Oryza sativa Japonica Group: one gene and its partners. The protein of the gene in region 1 interacts with the protein of each later gene in a pairwise test. Links are inferred from orthologs where the notes say so. Each region holds a gene or a part of one and is shown in the gene's direction. Other genes may lie near its edges.

What was found.
Region 2: the proteins of calcineurin B-like protein 1 (region 1) and cBL-interacting protein kinase 9 interact in binary tests that used the Arabidopsis thaliana proteins (3 or more experiments, as listed by UniProt). The link is inferred for Oryza sativa Japonica Group from reciprocal best matches to the Arabidopsis thaliana genes CBL9 and CIPK9.
Region 3: the proteins of calcineurin B-like protein 1 (region 1) and cBL-interacting protein kinase 8 interact in binary tests that used the Arabidopsis thaliana proteins (3 or more experiments, as listed by UniProt). The link is inferred for Oryza sativa Japonica Group from reciprocal best matches to the Arabidopsis thaliana genes CBL9 and CIPK8.

The regions. Positions count from the first base shown.
Region 1 is NC_089044.1:22,986,167-22,996,562, forward strand, and holds the start of calcineurin B-like protein 1, read left to right. Parts: upstream 1-4,850; 5' UTR 4,851-5,100; coding exon 5,101-5,179; intron 5,180-5,319; coding exon 5,320-5,402; intron 5,403-10,396. Other genes in the region: serine/threonine-protein kinase SAPK3, read right to left, coding at 1,036-1,296, 1,562-1,660, 1,765-1,869, 2,171-2,263, 2,394-2,486, 2,579-2,632, 2,721-2,822, 3,089-3,163 and 1 more. UniProt on the Arabidopsis thaliana protein: Acts as a calcium sensor involved in abscisic acid (ABA) signaling and stress-induced ABA biosynthesis pathways. Contributes to the regulation of early stress-related CBF/DREB transcription factors.
Region 2 is NC_089037.1:1,522,107-1,532,502, reverse strand, and holds cBL-interacting protein kinase 9, read left to right. Parts: upstream 1-5,370; 5' UTR 5,371-5,720; coding exon 5,721-5,933; intron 5,934-6,661; coding exon 6,662-6,724; intron 6,725-6,835; coding exon 6,836-6,907; intron 6,908-7,095; coding exon 7,096-7,203; intron 7,204-7,294; coding exon 7,295-7,375; intron 7,376-7,609; coding exon 7,610-7,663; intron 7,664-7,744; coding exon 7,745-7,870; intron 7,871-7,956; coding exon 7,957-8,046; intron 8,047-8,198; coding exon 8,199-8,321; intron 8,322-8,434; coding exon 8,435-8,545; intron 8,546-8,782; coding exon 8,783-8,899; intron 8,900-9,034; coding exon 9,035-9,091; intron 9,092-9,189; coding exon 9,190-9,264; intron 9,265-9,402; coding exon 9,403-9,483; 3' UTR 9,484-10,046; downstream 10,047-10,396. Other genes in the region: uncharacterized protein, read left to right, coding at 1,690-2,049. UniProt on the Arabidopsis thaliana protein: CIPK serine-threonine protein kinases interact with CBL proteins. Binding of a CBL protein to the regulatory NAF domain of CIPK protein lead to the activation of the kinase in a calcium-dependent manner. Involved in K(+) homeostasis under low-K(+) stress.
Region 3 is NC_089035.1:20,037,637-20,047,346, reverse strand, and holds the start of cBL-interacting protein kinase 8, read left to right. Parts: upstream 1-1,626; 5' UTR 1,627-1,781; coding exon 1,782-1,952; intron 1,953-2,526; coding exon 2,527-2,589; intron 2,590-2,699; coding exon 2,700-2,771; intron 2,772-2,997; coding exon 2,998-3,105; intron 3,106-3,184; coding exon 3,185-3,259; intron 3,260-3,331; coding exon 3,332-3,385; intron 3,386-5,436; coding exon 5,437-5,562; intron 5,563-6,391; coding exon 6,392-6,481; intron 6,482-6,629; coding exon 6,630-6,752; intron 6,753-7,070; coding exon 7,071-7,184; intron 7,185-7,725; coding exon 7,726-7,842; intron 7,843-8,707; coding exon 8,708-8,764; intron 8,765-8,863; coding exon 8,864-8,938; intron 8,939-9,449; coding exon 9,450-9,545; 3' UTR 9,546-9,567; intron 9,568-9,672; 3' UTR 9,673-9,710. UniProt on the Arabidopsis thaliana protein: CIPK serine-threonine protein kinases interact with CBL proteins. Binding of a CBL protein to the regulatory NAF domain of CIPK protein lead to the activation of the kinase in a calcium-dependent manner.

The DNA.
Region 1 (10,396 bases):
CCCGATTAGTACACCAACATATAATAGTCACAATGGTGTACACACACTGAAGTTGTACTGTACGTCTATACAATAACCATTTTATGAACATGGTACAAATATGTATACGTTCATAAGTAACAACGCACATACTCATCTCCATATGCATACACACACATTATCTATAGCATATCCGAATAACTGGATAACGAAACCGACAAATCTCGCTGTTTCTAATTGAGCTACACTCACCTCACTACGGTAACCTCAAAGCTTTAGGGCCTTTTTAAATCACAGTAATGAAAAAACGGAGGAATATGAAAAACATAGGATTCTGACAGGAATGAAAGTGTAAAACAAAGGATTGCAAAACGCAGGAAAAAGAATGACCGTTTGATTGGACCACAGGAAAAACACAGAAATTTGAGGAGAGATAAAAGACTCAAAGGATTTCTTCCATGAGATTCTATCTCTTGTTAAAATTCCTCTAAAACTTGTATGGAAAGAGGCATTTCATAGGAATTTCATAGGGTTCATTCCTTTAATTCAAAATGCTTTGTAGGAAAAATTTCTATAGGAATAAAATCCTCTAAAATTCCTATGAATTTCCTTTCAATCAAAGGGGGCCTTAAAGTTTTATTTGATTAGAATATTGAACAGATTATCGTTTTGATTATAGAGAGAATAAATTATTTAAGAAATAAATTTAACAAATATCTTAAAATAGAAAAATATTTTGAGAAGCGCAAATAATATGTTTAAATAATCCAAAGACAAGGAAGTGTAGCACAAATAATCCAATTACATAATTCAATGAATAAACTGGGAAAATGACCATGCAAACTGAATAGTCCTTGCCAAATGATCACACGAAACTGCAAACAAATAATTATTTTTTTTCTTTATTATTTACGCTGCAGGAAAATCCGGTGCAGAGTATACACGGCAGAAAATGCATCAGAATACGCATATCATTTGGTCTGGCGATCACGTATATTCCGGATCATATTTACAGCTGCAGCACAACGACCATGGATGCATATGGATCATGGATGGTCAGTAGGTGTCATACTCATCGGCGGCCTCCTCTTCGTCGTCGCTCTTCAGCTCGGCGAGCTCCGCGAGCAGCGCCGGGTCGGCGGCGGCCATGTCGCCGGGGACCTTGGCCTCCTGGATGATCCGCATGATCTCCTCGACGGCCTGCGTCGGAGGGGCGGCGTCCGTGTCCTTGTAGTCGGCCTTCTCCCTCTCCGATATCTCCTTTGGCAGATTCTTCAGAAACCACGTGTGCTTCTTTATCTCAGGGATCGTGATCCTCTGAACATCAAAAGTTCAGGGATGCAAAAACTCGAGTTAGTTAAATTCAGAGGGAATCCATCTCGTTAATTAATTAGAGACATAGTTTGAGCATTAGAACATATAATTGAGATCATATAGGCCGCATTACAATGAGTAAGATTACAGGTAGAATCTGAGTATGATTTAAGGTTAATTTTCCCTTCGGAGTAATCTAAAGTTTGGTCTAGTTTGGCAACTTGGGATCTCACTTAAACTGGGAGGTAAAGTGTGTGAAATTAAGTACCTTTGAAGGATCGGCAACAAATATTTGAGATAGAAGGCGCCTGCAGTCGGAAGACACCCTCACGTAGTCCGGGATGGAGTATTGCACGCCAAGAATTCTCTGTCAAGTGGAACAAGGCATGCATATTCAGAGTTTCAGACTCACCATTGAAGCAAGGTGTAGAAAAGGCTTGGATGATGAACAGAGGGAAATGGAGCACTTACGCTGATCGTTTTGCGGAAATTCCTCGGATCACCTGGATCTTCAAACGGGTATGAACCGACAAGCATCACGTACAGTGTCACACCACAGGACCAAACGTCTGCTACCTGGGTAAGGAGACGCATTACCTCAGATCATGCAGAGATGCAATTCTATGATGCGATGTTCCAGGAACTTCAGTAGCGTCCTAACATTACTGAAAACGTAAAGCTTATGCTGTTCGGTTTGTTTTGCACTCAATGTAAGTATTTCAGCTGCAATGGATCACTTTTAGCTAACGTCTAAATGCTCAATTGCTACGGTTCCATGATGCTAGAAAAGAAAAAACAATAGTGATAGATACTGCTATCTATCTTTACTTTACAGCCAAATTCAGATTGCAAAACATAGAAATGAGAAATAACTTGCCTTGCCATCATATTCTTTTCTTGAAAGAACTTCTGGCGCTATGTATGCTGGAGTACCAACTGTAGACTTCGGCTTCGAATGCAGCAAAGCAGACTGAAAATCAAAGAAGCCAAGTTGTTCAGTACTCCAGTTTGATTCTACCAAGAAGGCAAGAACAATTCAATCTATTTCTAGTAAAGTACTCTGAGATGTAGAACAGAACTAGTAGCATCCATGTTAGCACCTTTGAGTAACCAAAGTCACAAATCTTCACACGAGGTGTTGGGCTTCCATCCAGGAGGGTGTTCTCAAGTTTAAGATCACGGTGGCAAATTTCCTGCATTTTGCAGAAGCAGTTAATGACCACTTAACTTAATGAGCTTACGATGTGCCTGTTACGTCTGCAGAATTTCAACAAGCAAAACATACCAGAGAATGACAGTAGCTGACACCTGATATTAGCTGCTGGAAGAAGTACCTTGCCTATTGACATGAATCAATTATTGAGCACAGATGGTTTGCAAAACGGGAAGATTAGCTCACAAGAAGACAAGTAGGGCCTGAAAGCAACCTCGTCTTCGCTGAATCGCCCTGCGGTGCAGATTTGTTCAAAGAGTTCTCCACCAGCAGCATACTCCATGACAATGGCTAGGTGTGTGGGTGTCAAACAAACCTGCTCTTGATCGACACACAAAACAAGAAATCGTTATAGCAGTTGAATTTACTTCGATCTTAAGACGATACACTACTTACTAATTGTATGGTAAGTAATCAGCCAGGGTAAGCTTTGTGCTTGATAGATGTATAAACCCAAAACCTTATCATTTTACTTTCTACAGTAGCAGTGGAGATCAGCTCCATCTAGTTTGACTGTTTGACTGACTGATAATCAGTGAAGCTGCCGAACGAACTGATGAGTGAAAAGAAAATCTGAATTACCTCCTTAAACCGAATGATATTGGGATGCCGGAGCGACCTATGATTGATGATCTCCCTCTGCACATTTTCATCAATCTGCACACAGAGCAAACCAACCATCCATGCATCATCAATCAATCAAACTAAAAGCTAAGACTCGTCATGCATCTGGAACAACGAGTTGCTGAAAACATCAACTCGCACACACCATCAAATTATCAATCAGTCCGACGCAAGAAACTGCGAAATAAATCACAAAAGGAGAGAAGAGAAGACAGAGACAGAGGCAGCATCAGACCTTCTTGCCCCTCTCGATGTACTTGACGGCGACGAGCTCCTTGCTCCTCTTGTCCCTGACCAGCCTGGCCACCCCGAAGTTGCCGGCCCCGAGCTCCTTCAACGCCTCGTACCTCTCCTCCATTGGCCCCCTCGAAACCCAAACCCAAAGAGGAGAAGTCGCCGCGGTTCGAGACCGAAGCCGACCACCCAACCAACCCAATCAGAGGCGAGCTAACCTCCAACCAAACCAGACCAAATCCGAAGAAGGGAGGCGGCGAGGTGGAGGGATATGAAATTCTCTTCGTCGCCGTCACCGGAAAGCGACGAGGGTCTCTTGGTCGGACTTGAAGCCGAAGCGAAGCAGCGACGGCGACGGCGAGGTGCGCGACACGTGGCCCCCACGAGTGCCGTCGCTTGTCACGTGGGCCCCACGCGTCAGCTCAGCTAATCGGCGGGCGGGGTAGGAGTGGGGCCCGTGGATTAGGTGGCGTGTCCTGTGAATACGACGTGGCCGTTTCGTCGCTCCGGGTTGCCACGTGGCTCCATGTACGTATTATATGGAGGCCCACGCTCAGAAGAGGGCGGTGTCCAGAAACATGGAGCTGGGCTTTTCTTTTCCAAAGATGCTGGGCCGGTTTTCTAAAGTGCAAACCATGGGCTGCACGATAAATTAATTGATTAATCAGTTTTAGCTAGTAATCGTTAGCAAAGACGTTGGTTAACTTGGTTTTCTTGCTAGTTTCGTAGGGATTTCAAATGGTTATGAGCAGTCGTTCAAAAAAAAAAGATGATTATGAGCCAAGCAAACCATGGGACTACTATCAATTCGAAGCATCCGCTCGAGAATCTTCCATCGAAGATTTGGAACAATGTTGAATTTCTTCGATGTGACATAAACAATCTGCCTGGTCGTGGTTCACTACTGTGGTAGTAGTACTATTAGATTACTCTAATTATTGCGCGTGGCTGAGGTAAACCATGACACATTAGTGCTGGAATTGTTGCATGTGACCGAGAGGTAAGATTAGCGCAAGTTGGCTTGCAATTTCTTTGCGAAATCGTATGATCTGCTAATATTCCGTGTGGCTCTGCCCCTTCTCGCTGATTGGAGTTGCGCTTAGCCGTCGTAATAGTCATTTTCTTTTTCTTGGTTTTTTTTTGTCTTTTCTTCTTTTTCTTGGCATAAGCCAGTCTGTCTGATTGCGTTATGTAAACAAATATTTTTTTTTAATATATTGACTTAATTGTTTTGCGCGTTCGGAAAAAAAAATCTGCGAATATTCCCAGCTGACCAAAATGGGAATGGACGACGACGACGAGGTCCTCCCTTCTTCGCTTCTTCCAATCCATGGGCCGCAAGTCCGCAAGGGCCGCGCGCACGTGGGCGCGGTGCGGGTCTTCTTTCCCAAAAGAAGTCGGGGGAAAGCGAGGCGCAACGGACTCGGGGCCCACCTATCGCGTAGGTAGTAGGACTAGGAGGAGGCATAGCCCGTCTCGTCTCGACACCCCTCCGACCCCGACGCGTCGCGCACCAAACCCCCCCGCCCCCAACCCCGACCTCCTCCCGTGCTCCGCGCTCCGATCCGCCGCCGCCGCCGCGCGCGCGCCGCCGGGGGAGTGCGCCGGCGTGTGGTGGTGGGTGTGTAAGGGTAGGTGGAGGGGTGGGTGATGCGAGATCGGCCGCGGCGGCGGTAGAGGGGGTGTGTGTGCTCGGCTACTCCGGTGGGTCGGGTCTGGGCGGGGTGCGCGTGGGGATGGGGTGCTTCCAGTCGACGGCGAGGCGTCCGCGCCCGGGGTACGAGGACCCCGTCGGCCTCGCCTCCGAGACCGCCTGTGAGTTGTTGTTGCTGTACTTGCCACTTGAGGAGTACTCTACAGTACTGTATTTCATTTCATTTCATCAAGTAGTTCATCTGATTTATGCAATCGATGGGCGTACTGGAAATTCTGAGTTAGTTGTTTTGGATGTGTAGTTAGCGTAAGTGAGGTGGAGGCTTTGTTCGAGCTGTTCAAGAGCATTAGTGGTTCTGTGATCGACGATGGGCTCATCAATAAGGTGAACATCTAACTGTTTCTTGGGGGTATCTCACCATATTGGCATCATGGCATGTGTGATTATGAGCATCCTGATACATTTACTAATCTGCTTTTATAGCTTGTTGTGGAATTACAAAATTAGACCTTGCCGCATTCGAATATATCTACTGTTCCGTCTTTCATCACCATATTGGCATCATGTCATGTGTGATTATGAGCATCCTGATACATTTACTATCTGCTTTTGTAGCTTGTTGTGGAATGACAAAATTAAACCTTGCCACATTTGAATATATCTCCATGTACTGTTCCGTCTTTCGCTGGATATGAGAGGAGGTGCTCTCATATCGGAATTTATTAAGAGGGGAGTGAGGCTCGAACCTGGGTCGGCTAGCCCACAACTTGTGGTGCTAGCCAGAAGACCCCCACGCCTTTCTCACTGTTCCGTCTTTCAGGTTTCAGCTGCACAAATTATGTGGTGGATGCCATTTTCTGTGAATCGTTTTGCTATGCTGGCAGTTCTATTCATTCATCTTTGAAGTGAGCATGAATCTTTGTTGTACACACCCCGATCCTTTATTCCTCTTGTACCGCTCATTGTATTATGTGTTTGCCTTCTAAATTGTTGAATTTTCTGTGTATCAAAATGTGATTTTTTTCCTCAAAGTTTAATAGGAAAAAACTTGTTCCTGATATAAACCATCTGGCTACTATCACAGTATAACAACACAATGATAGTTCAAAGTTTGAGTCACTTTCTTCCTGCCTTGTCAATATTGATTTGCCGTGCTATAAAGCTAGACATAATGCGTTTCTCTTGCATCTTCACTTTTGTTTTTTGCATCTTCTTGTTGCGTCTTGCGTGGCGAAGAAGTTCATTAACTGCTATCTGAGAAGCCATACAGGTTCATGCACATCTGCTAGTTCTCATGAACTATAATCTTGACGTCATCAGTAGCTAAATTCACGGTATGAAATTAGGGACTACCTATCTAACGTTCGACATAAAATCCCCCCAAAAATATGCCGTAACTACAACACAATAATAGTGTAATTGCTGTTAGAATTTCAATGGTTACTCTCATTGAGAAGAGGATGGCACTCGAGATGGGGCAATTTTCTGGTTTTCTTCATTCACTAAACACAAAAGCCATATCCTCCCAAAGAGGATTGGATACATATTTATAGCTGCTTGTAGCAGCCATGCAGCCATGCTAGTCTAAGAGGGTGCTGTCAGCATCCCAACAAACTGTCCTAGAGCAGAGCATCCCAACAAACTGTCCTAGAGCATCTCAACAAACTGCTGTCCTAACTGTCCTAGAGCATCCAAACTGAAAGTAGAGATGCTGTCCTAGAAAGCTGAAAAACAGGAAAAAAGGCACCACAAGACCAAGACCAACCAGCCAAGACTTATTCCTACATTCTCCCCCTAAGTCTTGTGCGCCGTCTTGTGGGAGAGTTGAGCCATCCCGATCCGGGAGCAAAGCTCAAGGAACTTGATCCTCCCAAGGGGTTTGGTGAGCAAATCCGCAAGCTGGTCCTTGGTGTTGATGTAGCTCGCCTTGATGCTCCCTTCCTCCAAGTAGCTTCGGATGAAATGGTACCTCACTCGGATGTGCTTGCTCCGTTCGTGAAAAACGGGGTTTTTTGCCAGGGCCAGAGCGGACTTGCTATCCACCCTGAGCTCCACCGCTCCAGTATCTCTGCCGAGGAGATCACTAAGCAGTCGAGCAAGCCAGAGCGCCTGGGTCGAAGCGGCGGATGCCGCCATGTACTCGGCCTCGCAGCTGGACAGGGCCACCACCTGCTGCTTGATTGACTGCCAGCTAACGAGGCACTCGCCGAGGAAGAAGAGAATCCCGCTCGTGCTCTTGCTGGTGTCGATGTCGCCGGCGTGGTCGCTGTCGCTGTACCCGACGAAGTGTGCCTTGCCAGGACACCTCGGGTAGTAGAGACCGTGGTCGAGAGTCCCCGCAACGTAGCGGATGATCCTCTTCACAGCCTGCTGGTGCTCCGTCGTCGGTCGCTGCATGAACCGACTGACGTAGCCGACGGAGAAGGCCAAGTCCGGCCGTGTGTGGGTGAGGTAGCGAAGGCTCCCCACAAGACGTCGGTACTGTGTAGCATCCACCTCCTCCGCTGTGCTGTCGCGGCTCAGCTTCAGTCTCTCCTCCATCGGAGTGAGAGCTGGGTTGCAATCGGTGAGCCCAGCCAGCTCAACGACGCGCTTGGCGTAGGCGGTCTGTCGAAGCGTGATCCCGGAGTTGTCCTGGTGCACTTCGATCCCCAGGTAGAAGGAGAGAGGCCCCAGATCACTCATCTGGAAGGTGGCCTTCATCTCCTCCTTGAACGCCGCGACCTCTGCATCCTTGGTGCCGGTGATCACTAAGTCGTCGACGTAGACACCCACCAGCAAGGCATTTCCTCCATTGCCCCGCCGGTAGATGGCCGCCTCGTGCGGGCTTTGCTCGAAGCCCATCCCCTTGAGCGTGGAATCCAACTTGGCATTCCACGCCCTCGGTGCCTGCCGCAAGCCGTAGAGGGCCTTGTGCAGGCGTAGCACCTTGCCCTCCTTGCCGGGGATCACAAATCCCGGCGGCTGGTGCACGTAGACCTCCTCCTTCAAGTCGCCGTTTAGAAACGCCGACTTGACGTCCATGTGATGGACGCCCCAGCCTTCCTGAGCAGCCAGCGCAAGAAGGAGTCGCACGGACTCCATCCGTGCCACGGGAGCGAAGGCATCGTCGTAGTCGATCCCCTCCTGCTGCACGAAACCGCGTGCCACCAAGCGAGCCTTGTGCTTGACGATGGCTCCGGCTTCATCCCTCTTCAGCTTGAACACCCACTTAAGGGTGATCGCGCGGTGACCACGAGGGAGGTCAGCAAGCTCCCAGGTGCGGTTCTCCTGAACCGCGTCCATCTCCGACTGCATCGCGGCACGCCATGCCGCGTGTTTCTCGGCCTCTGCAAAAGACCGAGGCTCACCGTCGTCGCACGCAAGGTGCAACTGCGCCTCCAGGTTGCGAGGCACCAGTCCCGGCACCGGCTGGTCGCCGAGAAGATCCTCCATCGTACGGTACCGTAGCTGCTCGCCGTCATGGTACGCGTCGATGCGCTCCCCGTCGTGGGAGAGCGGAGTAACGAACTCCACCGGGCTGCGCTCAACACGAGCTGGCGTCGGAGTAGACGTGCCCGGAGGAGTGGCTGTTGGTGCTGGAGCGTGTGGGGACACCGGCTGGGGTGGTGTCGACGACGAGCTCGTCGTAGTCGAAGTCGTGGCCCGAGGGTGTGTTGGTGTTGGAGTCGGTGGAGGCTCGGGGACTGGGGTAGACACGCTCGGTGAAGAAGAGCTGCCTACTCCCCCAGCTCCCTCGAAGTGGACGTACTCGATGGTGAAGTCGTCGTACGTCGGAGTCGAACCATCATCCACCGCCTTGTCCCATACCCACCCTCGCCCTTCGTCGAACACAACATCGCGCGTAATGCGCACACGCTGTGTCTCCGGGTCGAGGATGCGGTAGGCCTTCGAGCCCTCCGCGTAGCCGATGAACACCCCTGGGGTGCTCCTGTCGTCGAGCTTGCCGATGTGGCCAAGCTCCTTGGCGAACGCGAGGCAGCCGAAGACCCGCAGGTGGGAGACCGCCGGCTTGCGCCCATGCCAAGCCTCGTACGGTGTCCTGCCATCGAGGGCCTTGGTAGGCGAGCGGTTGAGGATGTAGGCGGCCGTCACCACCGCCTCCCCCCAGAAGATGGCCGGCATCCCCCTCTGCTTGAGGAGGGCCCGAGCCATCCCCACAACCGTCTGGTTGCGCCGCTCGACGACGCCGTTCTGCTGTGGGCTGTACGGCGCGGTGTAGTGGCGCTGAATGCCCTCATCAGCGCAGTACGACGCGAATTCAGCCGCCGTGAATTCGCCGCCGTTGTCGGTGCGCAGCACGCGCAGCTTGCGGCCGCACTCCGCCTCTGCTGCAGCCTGCGCATGCCTGATGGCGTCCGCAGCCTCTCCCTTGCTGCCGAGGACCATCACCCACATGTAGCGGGAGAGGTCGTCGACGAGCAGCAGGAAATAACGTCGTCCTCCTGGTGTGGCCGGTGTCACTGGGCCACACAAGTCCCCGTGCACGAGCCCGAGCCGCTCCTTGGCTCGGAAGCTCGTCTGCTGGGGAAAGGGGAGCCGCCGCTGCTTTGTCACCACGCAGACGTCGCAGAGCTGCTCCACGTGGTCAAGGCACGGCATGCCTCGCACCATCTCCTTGGCACTGAGCTGCTTCAGGGCCTCAAAGTGGAGGTGCCCGAAGCGCTCGTGCCACTGCCACGCCTCGTCGTCCCGACGAGCGGCGAGGCAAACTGGATGTGCGACTTGCGCGCTGAGGATGTAGAGTCGATTAGTGCCTCTGGTTACCTTGGCAAGAAGGCGACGACGGCGATCCCAAATCCTCATGAGTCCGTCCTCGACCAACACGCGTGAGCCGTTCTCATCCAGCTGTCCCACGCTGATGATAGAATTCCTCAACGCGGGGATGTAGTAGACTCCGGTGAGCAGCCTGTGCTCACCGGACTTGGCGGTGAAGGTGACGGAGCCAACACCCTTGATCTCCACGCCGGAGGCGTCCCCGAACTTGACGGTGCCTCGGACGCTGGAGTCGAACTCGGTGAAGAACTCCCGTCGGCCGGTCATGTGATGGGTGGCGCCGGTGTCGAGGTACCACCCATCAGCCTTGTCGTTGCTGGAGCCGTCGCAGAGGGAGACGAGTACCTTCGGCTCATCAAGGTGGAGGAAAGCCGCTGCGGCCGGTGCCGCTGGAGGTAGCTCGATGCTTGCGTGAGCTAGGAGCAGAGCCGACTCTTCCTCCTCCACCCGTGCGACGTGGGCCTGGCCGCGTCGTGGCTGTCGACAGTCTTTGGCCCAATGGCCAAGCTTGCCACAGTTGCGGCAGGTGTCGTCTCGTGCCGGCTTGTGGTTGCCGGTGGCAACGCCCTGGGCGCCTCTGCGGGCGCCACCCTCGGCACGTC
Region 2 (10,396 bases), on another chromosome or scaffold:
TGAACCTGTGTTATCACTTGTCAGGACCTTACAGTTTGCTCTGTCCTGCTAGCGAGCAACGCAATCAGTAATTCAGTATATCGAAGGAGATCGTGCGTGGTCGTGCTATCAGCCGATCAAGTGATGAAAACTTGAATCTATAGGGATTGAATTGTCATCCTCATCAGTAAAAAATATTTGCATTCCAAACATGTCTGAGGCTTTTCTTGAAATAAAAAAAAGAATCATTGCAGTTGCCTGTTGCAGCATCCGGAAAGAAAGAAAGAAAGAGGAGCACATGCACATGCCATGCGTCCCATTTGAGCATCTTTTATTGGGGTAGGGTGGGTTCCTCCTGAATGGATGCAATCTGCATGGCAAGTAAACCATTTCTGTTGACTAGTACAAACTCCTGCTGAAAAATATTCTTCAGACAAACGGAGTAGGACCATCCGAGACGATCGATCGATGAATCGATGGACTTTATGGGTGTAGTACGCTGGGCAGAGACAAGAGTTTGGCTATCTTGATTCTGAGGATGAGTCGACCAAGGGACCCTTTGCAGGGTCAGGTTTGTTTTTTGTCCCACTCTCTGGAAGACTGGAGTAGTACACTACTTGAAGCATCCCATAGCTGGGGGATAGTGACAATTACAGAGTCGTTCTACATTGTGTATTCGCTTATCTAATTTGCTGATCCTGAAGAAACGGGCAGTCTATCCTAGATGGAAATGGAAGAACAACGATCTGAAATGGGAATAGTAAACCCGAAATTATGGAAATTAGGAGTAACACAGGATTGATTGGAAACGTTTCATTCAGAAATTTTTATACGTTCCAAACGAGACACTGCGTGTTGCTTCGACTACACGTTGTGCGTCCGGCACGATACGACAAACTTTCCAGCTGAAGCTGGATGTATGCGAGCAGTGCAACGGCCGGCCGGGAAACGAACACCTCTTGAATCCCTCTCACAGAAGCGAACAAGCCAGCTTCGTGGCCAGTAAGTACCAAGCCACAGCTCACCGCGGAATCGACCGGGGTGAGCTGAGCTGGATGCAGATTGCGCCCGGAGTAACCGAGCTGGGGACGGGGTTAAAGTGAGGACATGATTAGTCTGTTGAAAAAAAACTTTAGGAATACCAAATTTTGGTTTATTGATACATGGTAAAAAAAAAGTGTACCAGAGATCTTATTTGCTCTGAATTTTGGAAATCTCAAGAGTAAATACTCAGAATCTACTAAACTCCTATTTGGTAAGGTTCATATATGTTTAGAAGATAGTATATTTGATTTATTACGCAACCGAAATATGGTATATTGTTTTTCCTAACGAGAAACCAATGAAGCCCTTGATTTTCGGGGTAGAAAATGTTGAAATTCTTACTACAAGATGTCTGATTTATTACCTTACAAAATGCGACAGCAGTAAATTTTGGTGATCTTTAATTTTTTTTTGTGGCAAGAAACCCATCAAAGCCCCTTTGATCCTGGCGTGGAAAGCGATAAGCGGTGGTGTCGCGTCGCGTCTGCAGTAGAAATGGAAGCCTGGGGGCTGTGGCTGTGGCGTGGGCCAAAGCAGCAGCCATCACCAGATAACCCCGCCCGCATGCCCCCGCCTCAGGCCCCCCTCCCCAACGTAGTATATTCACCTCGCCGCACGGCAGCGGCAGCAGCAGCGTGCCACGAGACGACCACCAGCTAGCTCGCAATGGCGCAGCACGAGAGGAAGCCAGTCGGCGAGGCGGTGGACGTGGAGGCGGGAGGAGGAGGAGGACGGCAGCGAGCTGCGGCGGCGGCGGGGGAGAGAATGAGGTTGACGTGGTCGTGCCTCGCCGTGGCGGCGGGCGTGGCGGCGACGGGGGTGGCGGGCGCGGCCGTGCTGGTGTGGTGGGCGGTGGCGTTCCACCCGGCGCATGAGCAGCTGTGGATGGTGCCCGTCGGCCTCGTCCTCCTCGGCACCCCGCTCGTCGCCTGGCTCTCCCTCTTCGCCTCCGGTGCGTGCCGCCGCCTCGGCAGCCTCCGCGCCGTCCAGGACCAGGTCCCGCCGCCCTTCGCTGCCGAGAGATGACTGGGTTGTCTTCGATCTGTCGTCCGTCCGTCGAGTGTACATTTTCTTAGTCTTATTATTCTTCTTCGGTGTTCTTTCTTATCGTCGTTTTTCCTAAGATGATCGGAATGTGATCAGAATGGGATCCAAATTCTAAAGAAAAGTTCTTGCTAGTACAAACCTGCAGATTTCAGATGCTTCGATTGATCTTGCAGATAAGTTTGGCACTTAATTATATTCTAGTCGATCAAGTACGTGGGAAGAAATTCTCGTTGTCAAGGTTTTTTATTCAGCGAGTTAACATTGACAGCTCCGGATCGAATTTTGAGAGAGAGCTATGCAGCTCAGCCCGACAGCGATTTGTCATAGTCACACAAAAATGATGGCTCCTTTACTACTATCGCCGCATAGTCCACACATAGGCACGAGAAAAGAAAGTGTTGTTTTCTTTCCTACGCGGTCACTGCCACAGCTTGGAAACACAGAGTGACCGCAGCGACTAGTACTTGGCAGTTGGAGCACGAAGGCCTGAATCTGATGGTGGTGCCAACTCGGCCAAAGTCCCAATTATTCCTCACAAGTCGCGACTTGGCAATCGACGTCGCCTTCAATAATGCAAGGCTGACTGGCAATGAGACTGGGCATGTAGCACGCGCGTCGCTCATGTGTGTGTATCACGCTAACATTTGTCTCGGGGCTCTGGCAGATTATGGGTGGAGATTTGGACGGAAGCTAGCTAGTAATATATATGTTGGTCTGTTCCAGTTACGTTGCAAACTGCGATAATGGCGAACGGATCGATGGGCACAAAGCCACATATGCATGGGGCATGGACTTAACTAGATAGTGCGGTTTGGTGGCGTCTACACGTTTTAGAATTCGCATCTCATTCTCGGTGAATAAAAACCTAGTCAAAAGTTGAGGCTCTCCCATCTGCAAGACTGCAACCGAACAGACGCTGAAGAATCTATCTTAGGATCGAGCTCGTCGTGTTCACTGTTCAGGCGGCCGAAGCTTTGCGCCTGGTTGATGGGGACGGGAGTATCTATAGTGGACCAGTACTTCACTGTACTATTACTACTACTACTACTACTGCTCCAGTACAAATACTGATGATGTGTGTTCGCATCACATTATTCTGGCTAAGCTTTCTTCCTCCTCTTTCTTGGGACGAGGACAGCGGCGGCAGCGTACGCAGCGGGCCAGATTCTACACGAATTCTGCACGCTAGTTGCATGCAAAAGCCGCCTTGCGAGTTGCGAGTTCCGACGTACGGTTACCTCTGGGCACCAAACGGGAAACCGGCCAAGCCGTTGCTGTGTTTCGAGTTCCGACGACGACGCCGCTGCGGCAGCGGTGCACTCACACTCACGATAGCTGTGGCAATTCAGCTCGATTATATCACGGGCGGGGGCATGGCGTGTCCTGGGACGGTGCCATTCGGTGGAGCGTCAACTCGGAAAGCGGCCGTCCGGTGACACGGCCGACCTGGCCTGGCCTCTCCCTTCGGCTTCACTTCCCTAGCTTGAGACTTCCCAAAGAGCACCCACAATAGTAAAGTAACGTGCTATCTATAAAATATATACATATCAGTAATAGACTAGATTAATAGTAAACCACTTTAATTGTATGTCTATATGGGTATCTATAGCTCTCTAATCCATTGTCTCGTTTTTCTCTATAGACTATCTCCAGATTAGTAGATATCTTTGCTCTCTCTCTCCATTTAATCTCTTTCAAGTAGGAAAATATGCTGACATGTATCTTTTATAGAAAATCTATAGATAATTATTGCGGGTGCCCTTATTGTACCACATGTTGATGGAGACATTCGGGGTAGTTGACCACGTCGGGGCGATGAATCATGCGCGCATGTATCGTATGGTCTGGAGACGACGATCCTTTTCTTCTCATGGGCTGGGCTTCTTTCACTCGTCGACAGAGAGCATCATGGGCCAGCCCACCGTTGTTTTTGTAAGGCGAGAGCGAGAGAGAGAGAGAGAGAGAGAGAGAGAGAGAGAGAGTCCGGTTTCAGGGCCTGTTTGTCAACTGGGCCTGAAAGAATTGGGCCAGGTTTCTCGCCAGATTATGGGCTCCCAAACAGAGGGTTTTGGGTTTATGACATTTCTTCTGCTGCTAACCTGCCACGTTGGGAGCTGAATATCTACGAACTACGTCAAAATGTATAAAATCGCGGTTTTAATTTTTCTTTTCAGAAATCTCTTAGCATAGCCTTCTTAAAATAGAAAACTAAGCATTTTCTATCTAGCACGATTCTACTTTCTTCTAACTCGCGGTTAGGAGTGTTTCTGCGACAACCATCAAGTATAACTCGACAAAAATCACCGGCCATGGAGCTCATCGAAGTACGTATCCTCCTGGAATCGAAATCCCACAAGCTGACAACGCAAACAAAGTCGCACGTGGAACTCTCACTCCAGAACAACAGTGCTGTCCCCGTCACAATAATCTCGCCGTCTACTTCCAAAGTCACGAAAGCTGCTGCAGTATCAACCACTAACACAAGAGTTGCAATCACAATTCTCTCCAAATGTAATGTGACGGTTACGATTTCAAATCAGCAATCACACACAGGTCGATCGGTCACGCCCCCTGTCGTGGTAATGCCTTGATGGCGGCGAGGAAAAAGATTTGAGAGAATGTGGTGTGCAGTGCAGGCAGCGACGACGAACGGGACATGGCACGAGGCGCTAGTGGTGGTGTGGTGCCCCCGCGTGACGCCGCAGGATAAGGCTCTCGGCCCCATCGCGGCATCAATCATGCATTCACGCTGCTACTGGCCTACTGCTATTGCTATTGCTATTGCTAGCCGCTTGCTGATTCGTGGCGCACCGCTTCCGACCGCGACCACATCAGGCAAGGTTAATTGCGTGCATGATTGCTGGAAAAACAACACAGCAAACGGCATACAGTAGCAAGATCACACACGTTCGTTTTTGTCGTCGTCGCGGTCGCGGTGAATTGTTCAGAGGAGAGCCAGAGTTTGTTCAGGGGAGGACGTGTGGAGCACGGATGGATCAGCGCGTCGTTTTCAACGGAGGAATGATTGAGAGTACGGCACCGTACGGGTGCTCCTTCGAGGAAGGTGCAAAGCACGCATGTTCAGGGTTACTACTAGCTCGTTGCCTGTCGCTGTGGCCACGGTGGTGGACGACGGCGAGATTTTCCCTACTCCAGCGTAAAGAAAACCGAAAGGAGCGATCTCCAAGTGGCAACACGTAAAATCTCGCCCCACATTTGGATTTATCCATCCGAGGAGGAGCCACGGTTAAATGCCGCGTTCGCGCGTGCTCGTTACGTACGCGTGTTGCTTTCGAGTTTGATTAATCGTTTTTTTTGCCGGGGTGGTGGTGGGATTGGGATAGAGTTCGGGCCACTGCCTGTGAAAACTGTGAATCGCGTCGCGTTGCACACGGCCAAAACGATAGCGCGCGCACGCACGCACGCATCCGTGCCGCACGCCGCGCGCCGCCTACGTCTCGTCCCACGCGGTTCCCGACCGGACCCCACACCACACCTGCCACCAACGCATCTCCGCCTTATTTGAGGCGCGCGCACGGGGCGCCCAAGCCATCCAGCCTGCGTGCGACCTACCAACGCGCGCACTCCTCGATCCCATCATCGGAAGGCGGCGAGGCGCGCGGTGGAGGATTGATCTGCGGGAGGGATTGATGGCGGAGGCGGAGGCGGAGGCGGCGGGGGCGGGGGCGGGGGCGGGGCCGGCGAGGAGGACGACGAGGGTGGGGCGCTACGAGCTCGGCAAGACGATCGGGGAGGGGAGCTTCGCCAAGGTCAAGGTCGCCCGCGACACGCGCACCGGCGACACCCTCGCCATCAAGGTGCTCGACCGCAACCATGTGCTTCGCCACAAGATGGTCGAGCAGGTCCGCCGCCTTAATCATCCTCAAAATTGAATATTTATCTCTTTTTTTAGACATCAGGTAATAACAAGTTGGATCTTTTCTCGGAGGGGATCGAATTAAGAATCCTAAATTATTCTAGATAGATGCTAGATTATTATAAAAGATGGATTTTCATGGGGATTAATAAACATTAAACGAGAATATGCGCTTACTACGTCTCTACCATTGTCAAGATTCTGTCTGTTTGGATTGTTTGTGATTGAAGAAAGGTCATGTGTCCGCCTGTCCAGCGGGCTAAATCTGCTCTGATCTAAAGGAAATTAGATGGAATTGTATCAAGTTTGAATCGGAAATGTAACAACAGATTATCAAGCTGGGCCATGTAACTATAACAATATCTCCGATGCGGTGATGCCAACCCTGTCTTAATCAAATGCTTTCTGCCTAGCAAAAAGCTGTGCTAGCTTTGGTGTTCGTAGGAGTGGCAAGAGTTGTTCTAGATTCATTTTTTTTTCTCGGGGAGTTATAAATTCAGTCTGACTGGGGGGAAACTCGGGTATTGTACATTCCGTGCTAGATCACTCATTGGTTGATGCATTGTTTGGTGGAAAAACTAGTATTTTTTTTGGTTAAATATGTGATTTTCCATATGATGTGTTGGCACAATTAAATGTCCCTGCTCGAGCTGTTCTGTTTTCCAGCTTGAGCTTTCGATTGTGAATGATAACCTCATATTCCACTTCTATCAGATCAAACGGGAGATTTCCACAATGAAGCTAATAAAACATCCAAATGTGGTCCAGTTGCATGAGGTACTTTGCTATCTTTGCAGGAACAATAGCGTCATTACCACTCATACCCTTCTTTTTTTTTTTATCTCATCTCATTCAATGAGAATTTTACATTCAATGTGTGTTTGACAGGTCATGGCTAGCAAATCAAAGATATACATGGTTCTTGAATATGTTGATGGAGGCGAGCTTTTTGATAAGATTGTAAGGCCCATGAACTTTCTGTGCCAGATATCACGATTCTTATTTTTGTTTATGTACAAATTGCTTTTACATGCTGTAAGAGTAGCTTGTTGAACCGGCACATTTGACTGTTTTGATACTGACTGACTAATCCGCAGTTCTTGGACCATACAAGTTGACCCATTTATCATCATGTTATTATCAACTAGGTCAATTCTGGGAGACTAGGAGAAGATGAAGCAAGAAGATACTTCCATCAACTTATAAATGCAGTAGATTATTGCCACAGCAGAGGAGTGTACCATAGAGATCTGAAGGTTTGTTGAATTATCCTGCTTACCTCCTTTCTGGGTAATCTCCACTGGGATGGATGTATTCTCATTCATATTTTTTATGTGCCATTTGCAGCCAGAGAATCTGCTTCTTGATTCACATGGAGCTCTTAAAGTTTCAGATTTTGGCCTTAGTGCGTTTGCTCCACAAACAAAAGTATGATATCTAGCTAGTACCCAGAAGTATGTTTTTGTAGTTGTTAAAAAATTAACCAGTTTCTTTATCCTAATGTGATGTGTTTGGGTTTTCTAGCATTTTTCTGGTTTAATTGACTTGTTCCTTAACTTGCACTATTACCTCAAATGAACTTCGGACGCATAATTATTTGTTTTGGTGACAAGAAAGTTGAAAGAAGTAACTTTGGTAAACTATTTTGATTGTTTTATTTAGGAGGATGGACTTCTGCATACTGCTTGCGGAACACCAAATTATGTTGCACCTGAGGTGATTCATGTTGCCTTTGATTAAACTCGTGTATTTTCTCCAAAAAGATGTAAGAATCATATATTCATACTGTTCCCTCAGGTGCTTGCTGATAAAGGTTATGATGGTATGGCTGCTGATGTATGGTCCTGCGGCATAATCTTATTTGTCCTCATGGCTGGATATTTACCTTTCGATGACCCCAACCTAATGACCCTTTACAAACTGGTAAGTATGTGTAACATGCACGCATTCTAATGTTTCTTGTGAATTTCATTGGTAAACTTGATAGACTTTTGATGTTCTCTTCACAGATCTGCAAGGCAAAAGTTTCTTGTCCACATTGGTTTTCTTCAGGTGCGAAGAAGTTCATTAAGCGCATACTTGATCCTAATCCCTGCACAGTAAGTGACAATTAAGGACATATATCTTCAGCTAACCAGTTTGACCAGCTGACTGCTGCTAGTCCAATGAGTTTCATTGTATATCCTCTTTGAAGCCTTTTATGATGGCAATTTGAGAGAAGTCAGAAAACAATGAGCTATATTCTTTGCAGAGAATAACAATTGCACAAATTTTGGAAGATGATTGGTTCAAAAAGGATTACAAACCACCACTTTTTGAGCAAGGTGAAGATGTGAGCCTTGATGATGTTGATGCTGCATTCGATTGTTCAGAGGTAATGCTAGCTGAACATTTATCTGTAACCTGCATCCTTTCCCAAAAATACGATTTGTAACCTGAGTTAAAACCACTTCTTTGTTTGTTACGTTTGTTTGTTTAACCTTTCAGGAGAATCTCGTGGCAGAGAAGAGAGAAAAGCCTGAATCCATGAATGCATTTGCTCTAATTTCAAGGTCACAGGGATTCAACCTTGGAAATTTATTTGAGAAGGAAATGATGGTAGGTTTTGATAGAGTCCAATATTATAATTCCATGTTGAGAATATGTTATGTGCTAGATAGATTGGAGTGCTTCTTTCTGGAAGCTTGTATCGGTTAATATAATTTTGCTAATGTTTTCCTCTTTTCTTTATGTGCTAAGTCCGACAGAACAATTATGTTTTGATCAATTTATCATCCTATTAGTTGTACTCCTTAGTCGTTTACTAAATAGTCTGAGTCTACCTAATATATATAGGGAATGGTGAAGCGGGAAACTTCCTTCACATCTCAATGTACACCACAGGAGATCATGTCTAAAATAGAGGAAGCTTGTGGACCTCTTGGTTTCAATGTGCGGAAACAAAATTATAAGGTTTGTAGCATTTTAGACGGCTATGTATTGACTAGTTTGCTTTATGTGGGTTTCTGTTAGTTTCCTTGAGAATTTGCATCAGTATGTTCGCCATTCAGAAGTAACTTGGATTTGTTCTTTTTTGTTGGGCTCCAGATGAAGTTAAAAGGTGATAAGACTGGAAGAAAAGGCTATTTATCTGTAGCAACGGAGGTATTGGAAATTAAATTGACATGTATCCTGTTAAGTCTGTGCAATGCTTCAGTAAATTTTGCTTTAATAAAAGAACTTATTCACATGCTATCTCACAGGTTTTCGAGGTTGCTCCATCACTCCACATGGTTGAGCTTCGTAAAACTGGAGGGGACACGCTGGAGTTTCACAATGTATGTTATCAAACTTTGTATATTCTATCATTTCATAGTGGGTCATTGAAAAAAAAAATCATTTCATAGTACCCAGCATCTAGTTGTTTCTTGATGATTTCAGAACGATTAACGTCATTTCTATCAAATTGCATGCAGTTCTACAACAATTTCTCGTCAGAGTTAAAAGACATAGTGTGGAAATCTGAATCTGACGCAAAAGCAGCAAAGAAGAGGTGATCTTTAGTATTCCAACTATCCAATGCTCCTGGATGTAGTTCCCCCTTTGTAGCGTTTGCACCATTTCTCCAGGTGATACCAAAGGATATCGTCCTCCTGGTCTTGTGCACATTGATGAATTTTCTGTGGGGTCACATCTTGTTGTGCCAATCCTTGCAAAAGGGAGCGCTTTTTTTTTTCTTTTTACCCTTAGCGCAACTGTAGACATGCTCACATGCATGTATAAGGCCCTCCCGGAGATGCACCTTGTATTTGCAGTTGGGATGTCAAATAGGTGTCCTACATGCTTTGGTGACCAGTAGGGTTGTGTGCCTTTTCTTTTAGTGCTGAAAAGTATATAATAAGATCAAAATGTGAAATTGGGAGGCTATGTAACACTAAGCTGTGCTCTGTTCTTGAGAAACCTAGCAGCAGAATGGCAGTGTAACTTTGTTAGTTCTTTCTTTTGTGAAACTGTAATGGCTTCACACCTGAGCTATGGGTGTATGTATTCAATCATGATGCAATCTGATTGGCCGGATAAAAGAAAGAATAGTAATCACCTTTGCATGCTATTTATTATGAACCATCACATCCTCTTGGGCCGGATCGGTACCAATGCGATTCTAGTCGGGTTTGGTCTCACCAGCCCATGAGTTAATACGGCCCGGATGGAGGAGAGAGTTTGATTTGATCTGCTCGCGGCTCTCCCTGCCACGCCGCCGGTCGCCGGAGCTCCGTCAGCCGTCCACCGGCGTTGCTGCACGGAAGCTACAGGCGATCGCCCTGGAGTTAGCTGCACTACCTGTGTTTCCTTGTTCTCCAACTCATTAGCAGATGGGAACTGAAGCATCAAAATTTAATTTCTATTTGCAATCTTTTCAGTTCATTTGTTTAATACAGTAGTTCATCGTGTGATAAGTTGTCTTTTATC
Region 3 (9,710 bases), on another chromosome or scaffold:
AACTTCTAATTTTGGTGTGAACTAAACACACCCCTAGTATAGAAAGATGTCCAGATTTGCAGTGCTAAAAAATATAATATTTAGGGCCTGTTCACTTTGATGCCATTTTCAACCTTACCAAAATTTGGTAAAGTTATCAAAAAAGTGGCTATATTTAGTTTGCTGTCAAATTTTGGTAACTATATAAAATTTTGGTAGGGAGCATCTATCTATTTGTCGGGTGATTTCTAATAAAAAAATCACCCAAATTTTTTTTTACCCTTGTATTTACATCCAACGGACTACAAAAGAAAAATAACAAATACATATTAACTTACACATTATTTTTACCAAAATTACAGTGCACTTACATGTCAAATCAAGTAAATTTACAAATATAATTTTAGTTATATAAGACTGTAATTTTATATTTTAAAGAAAATAATAAGTACATATTTAGTTACATATTATTTTTATCAAAATTACAGTACACTTACATGTCAAATCAACTAAATTTGCAAATATAATTTTAGTTATATAGGACTGTAATATTATATTTTAAAGAAAATAGTAAGTACATATTTACTTACATATTATTTTTATCAAAATTACAGTGCACTTACATGTCAAATTAACTAAATTTACAAATGTAATTTTAGTTATATAGGACTGTAATTTTATATTTTAAAGAATTTAATAAGTACATATTTACTTACCCATTATTTTTATCAAAATTACAGTGCACTTACATGTCAAATCAACTAAATTTACAAATGTAATTTTAGTTATATAGGGCTATAATTTTATTTTATTTTTATTTTTTATTTTAGTTTCAAATGTCTTAATTTTTCAATGGTTAAAGAAATCAATTTTTATTTAGATGTTTAAGATATGTTAAATTTGTTGTATCGATTAGTACTTAATCTGACATGTAAATTAACATAGAGATATTTCTTAATTTGACATATAAAAATTACATACTTCATGTATTTTATTCACATGGCAAGACTAACACACCTTGACTCCCAGTCGACCTTATCCACGGCAATTGCTGCGCAAATCTTGGCGCAAAGACCATGTGGTAAAAAAACGTCAAATGACAAGGAAAAAATATCTCGCCAAAATTTGATAAGGTTTATTTTGCCAACAAAGTGAACAGCCCTTAGTTCTGTACTAATAGCAATGTTTTGAGATGGGGTAGTAGCTCCGCCACAAAACTCCGGTTGAAAACGAAAGCGACGGTTAGCTGTCGAGGGAGACGAAGAGGTCTCAAAACGTACCTGACATCATTATACAGCTGACATTTAGGCCAATCCAATTCCGTATGTCCGTGCGGCTTTCATTTTTTTCCTTCTCCTTTTGACCAAACGCAACCCATTTTTCATTCATTTCCCTTTTTTATTAGCCAGTCTTTTCTACCTCCAATTTTGACGGACACGAAAAAAAGTAGTACTAAAACGAAAAAAAAAAAACACTCATCTCCCACAAAAATTCCTACTAAAAAAGAAATTCATCTGTTCAGACTGTAGCAGATCGAGACAACGCCACACACGCACACACACGACACGACAGCTTCGTGCTCAAGCGAGCAGCAGCTAGTATAGAACCCAAAAAAAAAAAAAATCGGCCCCATTTGAAAAGCTCGGAATCCCCCATCTCAATGGCGATGTCGAGCTGAGCACCACCCTAGCGGTGGAGTAGGGGAGCTGTGGTCGGCGGCGGCCGCCGCCAGTTGGGTGTCTCGGAGTGAGACCGGGAGAGGCGGCGGAGGGAGCTCAGGGAGGGAGGGAGGAGGGGCGGCGATGGTGGGCGGAGGGGCGCTGCGGCGGGTGGGGAAGTACGAGGTGGGGCGGACGATCGGGGAGGGGACGTTCGCCAAGGTGAAGTTCGCGCAGAACACGGAGAGCGGGGAGAGCGTCGCCATGAAGGTGGTCGACCGCTCCTCCATCCTCAAGCACAAGATGGCGGATCAGGTGAGCCCCCATCTATCTCTTCTGTTTTTTTTTCCTTTTTTTGTTCTCTCTATTTGCGTGTTGATCAAGAGATTTTGCTGTACTAGCTTAGCTTGGGAATTAATTAGTGTATGCCACGGATTTGTCTAGCGCCTTGAGACACAGAATGGATGAGGGAGATTGTTTAATTCGACCCTCTTTTCATCCTCTTTTGCGCCAAATTCTACTCGGTTTGTCAATGGTGGGTTTGATGCTTCATGTCCAATTGGCGTCTAGCTTGCAGCTTCCTTTCCCCACAACAAAGTGTTAACAGTGGTGGTACCAGGATTGTTGAATCGAATCGCAATTTTAAACTTCCGCCGAGCAGTTTGTTCTTCTGTATATACCTATTAAGATATTGTTGTTATAAAAGAAAAAAAAAAGTAAGGTACCTATGTCAAGAAGCACCCCTTTGTAAAAAAGAACTCACAGGTTTATGCTTGTAAGGGAAAGGCAGTTTTAGCTGTTCTAGTTTTGTGTTGTTGAGCTGCGTAAGTTAGCTGAATCCTGATGTATCAGGGTGATAAAACAGGAGCTTACTTAATTATTTCTGCAGATTAAGAGAGAGATATCTATAATGAAGCTTGTGAGGCATCCGAATGTGGTTAGACTACACGAAGTACACCCTCTTTCCCTTTTCTCTCTTTAAGTTTTGTTGTTTACTTCTTTGTTCTCTCTTGCTTTTTCCAAGTGCTGATTGGGTGATCATATCTGTTCTGTTATGTGCAGGTCTTGGCAAGCCGGAAGAAGATATTTATAATCTTGGAGTTCATCACTGGCGGTGAACTATTTGATAAAATAGTAAGGCCCTGCTTGTTAATGATAAGTGTCCTTTTCAGTGTCATTTTCTCGATATGACCTATGAAAAAATTGAAGTTAAATTAGTTCTTGTATCTGTTGCCTAGTTGTCTACCTCATTACTTCTGGATTGAACAATCGCCACTTGTGCTTGTTGGATTTAACACACAAAAATGAGTTTTCAAATCTATGTTGAAGCTTAGTTATTCTGGGAACAATGCCATTTCAGATTCGTCATGGAAGACTCAATGAAGCTGATGCACGCAGATACTTTCAGCAGCTCATTGATGGTGTTGATTTTTGTCACAGCAAAGGTGTCTACCATCGAGATTTAAAGGTGATAAGTCAAAAGAAAAATACGAAAACTTTTTGTGTTTAGTTTGTGGGCTTTTTGATTTTATTTTGTATGTATGCAGCCCGAAAATCTCCTCCTTGATTCCCAAGGAAATCTTAAAATATCAGACTTTGGACTCAGCGCCTGGCCTGCTCAGGTCCATACCTTTCTGAAGGCTTGTCCAATATTCATATCCTTTTGTCGAGTTATTTAGTTTGTTCTTGTGCAGGGTGGTGCCCTTTTACGTACTACCTGTGGAACCCCAAATTATGTTGCCCCAGAGGTGAGTGACATCTGAATCACATGCTTTGCTTTGAGTTTTCCTAGATAGAAAACATTAAAATTGTCTTCTGCAACAAAGGGTGGTTTAAATATGGGTTAATTGGATCCATGCCACTGCAACTTTGCCAAATTGAAAAAATGCCACTACTATTCATCATATCGGCTACATGCCACTCGAAATTTCTAAAATTGGAACCATGCCACTCCAGTCAGTTTTTCCGTCCTCCTCTCTCACGCCGTCTCTATTCCCGTCATTATCCCCCCTCCCTTCCCATCCTCCTGCTCCTAGGTGGCCGGGGACAGCACCACCACCTTCGTCGTCCTCACCGGCGCAAGGGTCGGCGGCGCCGGTGCACGAAGACGAGGCTGGCCTGTGGTTCCCGTTCGCGGACTCGCTGGAGAAGGACATCTTCTCGGACCTCTTCTACGAGGCGCCCGTCGCGGCGGCGGCAACGGCTGCGGCTGCTGGCCTAGGCGCCGATGGCGACAGCGACGGCGAAGGCAAGCCTTGCAAGGACGATGCGGCAATGGCGGAGGAGCGTGGCGGGCCGGGCGCGGCGCGACCTGATGCCGCCGCCCAAGTCGACGCCCCTCTTCTCTTTATTCCCCACTTCTCTCCACCACGTCCATGATGTTAGCCGTCGCGCCGGGGAACGGGTTGCCGGCACGGAGGTTGTTGTCGGCGTCCATCACCCTGTACACCACCTTGTGCGTCGGCTTGCCGTGCTCGTCCACGCCATTCTCTGCAAAGATTTCACGTATCTCACTGTCAATTTGACAAATGAACTCATCCAATCCAGCGACAGCAACATCTGTATGGATTTAACAAGAATGGACCAAGCAAGATCGAAGCAGTCGGCGGCTTGGCGCCGCGGGGGCTGCCCATGCCAAGGGCCTCACGGCCGAGGCAATGCGGCGGCCGTGGCGCCGCATGTCGGGGTCCCCGACCGCCGACACTTTGCCGCCGCCATTCGTCTCGAGTCTCTTGATGGACTGCGCCACCAAGTAGCACGAGATGGCGAGGACTTGACGGACCCGTGGGCGGCGGCGGGGGCCGCCGCCGCCAAGGCGTCCGCAGAGGCCCCGCGCCGCTGGAGCGGAGGCGGAGGGCAAGGGACGCCGAGCTGTCCGCGCTCGCGTCGGCCACCCGTGAGGCTGTGACCGCTCGCGCCGCCGTGTTCCGGGAGCCGTCCCCGGCGCCGTTGGACGCGTCGTCGACGGCGGGGCGGCGCAGAGCTCCCGCCCGTGGTGCTGCGCGCGTCGTCGCTGATCCAGCGGTGGCGGGAGATCGAGGCGATGGGGCCCGCCACGTCGCGGCCCTACGACCTGGCCTTCGACTCCGACGGCGGCTCGCCGCGGGCCACGTGGGGTGCATCGTCAAGAAGCTCAGTGGCACGTCGTTGCCGCCGCCGCTGTACTCGATCCACGATGGGAGGTCTCGGGAGCCGCTGCTGCCGTCCTCGACGCCATCTGCGGCGGGAGTGCTCGGGAGCTGCCGGCGGCGTCGCCGCTGTCCTTTGCAGTCGCACGGAGAAAGAAGAGGGAAATGGAAACGATTAAACGGTGGAACGAGACGGTGTGAGAGAGGAGACGGAAAAAGGGACGAGAGTGGCATGGTTCTAATTTTAAAAATTTCTAGTGGCATGTAGCTAATATGATGAATAGTAGTGGTATTTTTTCAATTTCGTATAGTTGCAGTGGCATGGATCCAATTAACCCTTTAAATATACCTTCATCCTAAGATGTCAGATTACTCAGTTAAACATGTGTGATGGAATACTCATACATTTATCCTTCAGGCAGGTTGAGTAACATTGTTCCACCGTGTAACTTAAGACATCTTCTCTAAAAAAATGTAAAAAATAAAAAGTGATATAACTAGAACTGTTTTTTATCTCTATACTGAATGAGCCAAATATGCATGATTGATATCTCTTGATTCTTTATTTGGAAAAATGCTTTACTTTTCATTCTCAGTAAAACCATGTGATGTGTTTCATATGATTATAGATAATGTGTTCACTGCAACCTTTAACTCCTTGTATGGATCAGGTTCTCAGTCATAAAGGATATGATGGAGCACTTGCTGATACATGGTCATGTGGAGTTATTCTATATGTCCTGTTGGCAGGTTATCTTCCATTTGATGAAGTTGATTTGACTACCCTTTACGGGAAGGTTTGTTTCTTCTAACCTATGGCAACTTTTTTGAAGCTCAAATAAGTATATTGCAACCCATTTATGATTTTGTGTCAGTGTATATCATATTGGCACATGATCTCTTTGTATGGAAGATCAGATCTCATGACATTTACTTGTATTTGCTTTTACTATACACTATGTGCTTACGTTTATTATCTAGCCACTCATTTAAGCATGATTAGTGGTATTAGTTTGTGAAATCCATGTGAAAACAATATCAAACATACTCGGTACTTCTCAGTGCATAGATAGCTAAGTAGCTTATGTAATGTAGTGTGTTGCTAGTAGTTAAAGATTACAGATCCTGGCAGTGGCTCTGATACGTGAGCATAGTGATCTCATACCTGCTTTCCTACTGCTGAAACATTCCGGCAAGTAAGAAATGTAAGCTTGCCGAAACAACTAACCAACTAAAAGGAAATTAACCTCGGCATCCTTTAGAATAAACTAGTTAACATGCTACTACTTTCAATAAGAGAATTAGCAGAGAAGCTGGGGAGCACAACAACAATAGCAGACTCATTACACATGGCTTCATAGCTAAATCCTCTCCTTTTCGCTCTTGTTTCTCTTTTCTTTTTGGTTGGTGGAAGTATAAACATTTGTATTCCATTCTAGTAGGACTGATTAAGAGATATATCTATTTGCATATTTCAGGTTGAGATGCATATAGCTATTTTTATTTTCTAGATTTGAATATTAGTTCAACATATGCCTTGATGGATGGAATAGAAGTTTTTATCTAAAATTGTTTTTCTTTTGTACAGAATATACAAATTTATATCTGTCTATTTGCTTAATACAGATAGAGAGTGCAGAATATTCATTCCCAGCTTGGTTTCCTAATGGTGCCAAGTCACTTATTCACAGAATTCTTGACCCTAATCCAGATAAAGTAAGTAAAGTTATAGAAGTGTTTAGCTAAAGAAAATCTCCATTGGCTGATATGAATTCAATGAATTATAGTTTAGATACATCACACCTCTAGATACTGATTTTCATTGGCATTTTGTTGACTCAATATGAATTTTGACTTGGAACAGAGAATCAGGATAGAAGAGATCAGGAATGATGAATGGTTTAAGAAGAATTATGAACCTACCAGAGAAATTGAAAGTGAAGAAGTCAATCTTGATGATGTCAATGCAGCTTTTGATGATCCTGAGGTATTTATGCTTACTCTTGTCTTAGAACTGTTTTTGGAAAGGAATCATTGCATATATATGACATTTTGTATGTGCTACAATCTTCAAAATATGCTCCAAATGAAAGCCTCGGAATGGAATTTCAGTTGCTCCAGATAAGAACTATTAGCAGTAACTGAAACTGGAATTTCAGTTGCTCCATTGTTAATTATGAAATTTGATCAGAAAGCCTGTTTCGCACTGAAGCTATGCTGTACGTTTTTACGGGAGCTCTATTGTGCCTTTTACCTGTCATTATATAAATATATAATTTGTGGTCCTTTTTCTGTGTGATTTCAGGAAGACGCTGACCATACTTTAGATGACGAAGCAGGACCTTTGACACTCAATGCATTCGACCTAATAATTCTATCTCAAGGCTTGAACCTTGCAGCACTATTTGATCGCCGACAGGTATGGTGCAAGACATTTTGTGATGTCTAGTGTTTTCGCAAACTAAAAGTTGGAGTACAGGACTAACACTGTTATTATGTCATGTCCCAGTTCTACATTTTTTAATTAATACGCTATTTGGGCATTAAATCATGGTTCTTATTGTTATTATCGGTGAATATTCAGTTTAGTTTAAATAGTGTACATGTGATTTGCTGCGGCAGTTTACATTATTTTTGCAATCATGTATTATATGCATAGACTAAAGAAAATCCATTTGATTCAAATTATTTTAACATATAACCAGAGGAAAAAGACAATGATAGACCATCCCATCTGATGATCTTTGTTCCTCTTCTCTCAAACACACCTTAATATTGTTGCTGCCCAACTTGACACAATTCAAACTATCCTCTATTTTTATTATTTTTGTATGTACTCCGCAATACTGGTATTGCCTAGAAGCTTGTTTAAATGTCCATGGTTTACCCTGTGTGTGAGTTTTATAGATAATTATGGGTTTCTTCTCCTCGGACCTAATGCTTGATGCCTTGATCTACAGGACTATGACAAGCTTCAAAATAGATTTTTATCACGCAAACCAGCAAAGGTTATCATGTCAAGCATGGAGGTTGTTGCTCAGTCAATGGGGTACAAGACACACATTCGCAATTATAAGGTAAAGTTTGTTGCCCCACACCCTATAGCTTGTTACAACATCACTTACCTATTATACAGATATTGCAAATCATCTTCTCCTTCATCTTAGCTGACAAGCAGTTGTTCTATCTATTTTGTGATAGTTAGAATGTAACTGTTTTTTGGTTCATTGTACAGACATACAGACATGAGGATCTGTAGTTCTGTTAAGGTCTAAATTGTATCAGAAGAAGCAGCACCCTGTCTTGAAAAGCTTATTGTTTTCTGGAATGTGAATATGTTATTTTAAAGTCAAATAAATTTCTTATTATCTTCAATGTATCAAGCCTCATGTTTGAACAAGTTGTCAAGAGAACGTCATTTGATATGCTGGCATTTACATTTGAAATTATTGTCTAAGTAGCAACCACAAACTACCTCTGAATTGACACAAAAAGCATGATGATATCAAAAGTATTAATTCATTAGAATGTGTTTAGGTTGCTGGTCTAAGGGGTTACAATAAACTGTACCCCAATTTTTTGTACATATATATGCACAAGTTTTATCAACCTGAGTAAACAGTACTTCATTTCAGTCCTTTTACCACTGGTTTAACAGTATTGAATGGTATTGCCAGTGATACATCTCTTTAATTTCTTGTATTGTTTGTTTGTGGCCTTTTTTTTTCCCTTTTGGCATAACATTGTCTGGATGCTGGTAAATTGTGATCAAATGCGGGCTTACAGTTTTAATATTATTCATGCTGTTATTTTGCAAGTAAAAGAGTTATAATGTTTTGTCTTGTGATTTTGATTCTCAAAACTTCTTTTACTGCTAATTAGTTAGCATTACCATGGACATATTTGATTCCTTACATCTAGTTGTGCTATTAATATATTCAGATGAGGGTGGAAGGTCTAAATGCAAATAAGACAAGTCATCTCGCAGTTATGCTTGAAGTGAGTCTTGCCTCTTTTGTAATGAAGTACATCTGTTGTTTTATTGCCTTCTATTATGGATTACTCCAATCCTTTTCATCCTGAGTTTCCTCTGGTCAGATTTTTGAAGTTGCCCCATCGATCTTCATGATTGAACTGCAAAGAGCAGCGGGAGACACCTCCGATTATAACAAGGTCAGATGCAAAGAGCCTTTCATACTTGCATCATGCTGTTTCTTGAGGTCCTACAGCCGATACACCATGTATAGCTAAATGCACCTGATACATCTAGGCTGTAGACAGCCTAGTGTTATAAAGCTGGAAAATATTTTGCAATGTTGTTACCACAGAGCTTTACGGAGACTGTCTAGAAAATAGTTAGGTACTAGTAGTACCAGACTGATGTGGGACCTACCTGTGTACATGCATGGACCGTACTATTCATTTGCTGCTGTCTTATTTTTCAGTTTGTGTTTTGTCAAAGCTAAATAAGCATGCCTAATGTTAAAGGTTAGGCATGGGCAAATATATTCAAGTAGTTTCTTCACCCAAGAAATCTGAAATAGTAATGCTTATAATTTCCTGATGAAACTTCTTGCTTCACTAGATATTTTTGTGAATTGTATAATGTAAAATAAATTGATCTGGATAATGGCTTTTGATTTGCTAAGACATGCACAACTAACTCCGCGTGTCTTATGTGCAGTTTATAAATAATTACTGCAGCAAATTAGACGATATCATTTGGAATTTTCCAATTGAGAAGAGCAAATCAAGGATATCGCGGCTATCGAAGCGCTAGTCTGCTTTGACATCCATCATTTGTATGCTGTTGTTCAACTCTATTTTCATCTTCTATTGCCATAATATTTGCATTTACCTCTACTTATTACCTCTTAACCATACCGGAATGCTCACCACTATTGCAGGTACTATGTGTAATCTAATGCTATGCAGCTTGAGTGGT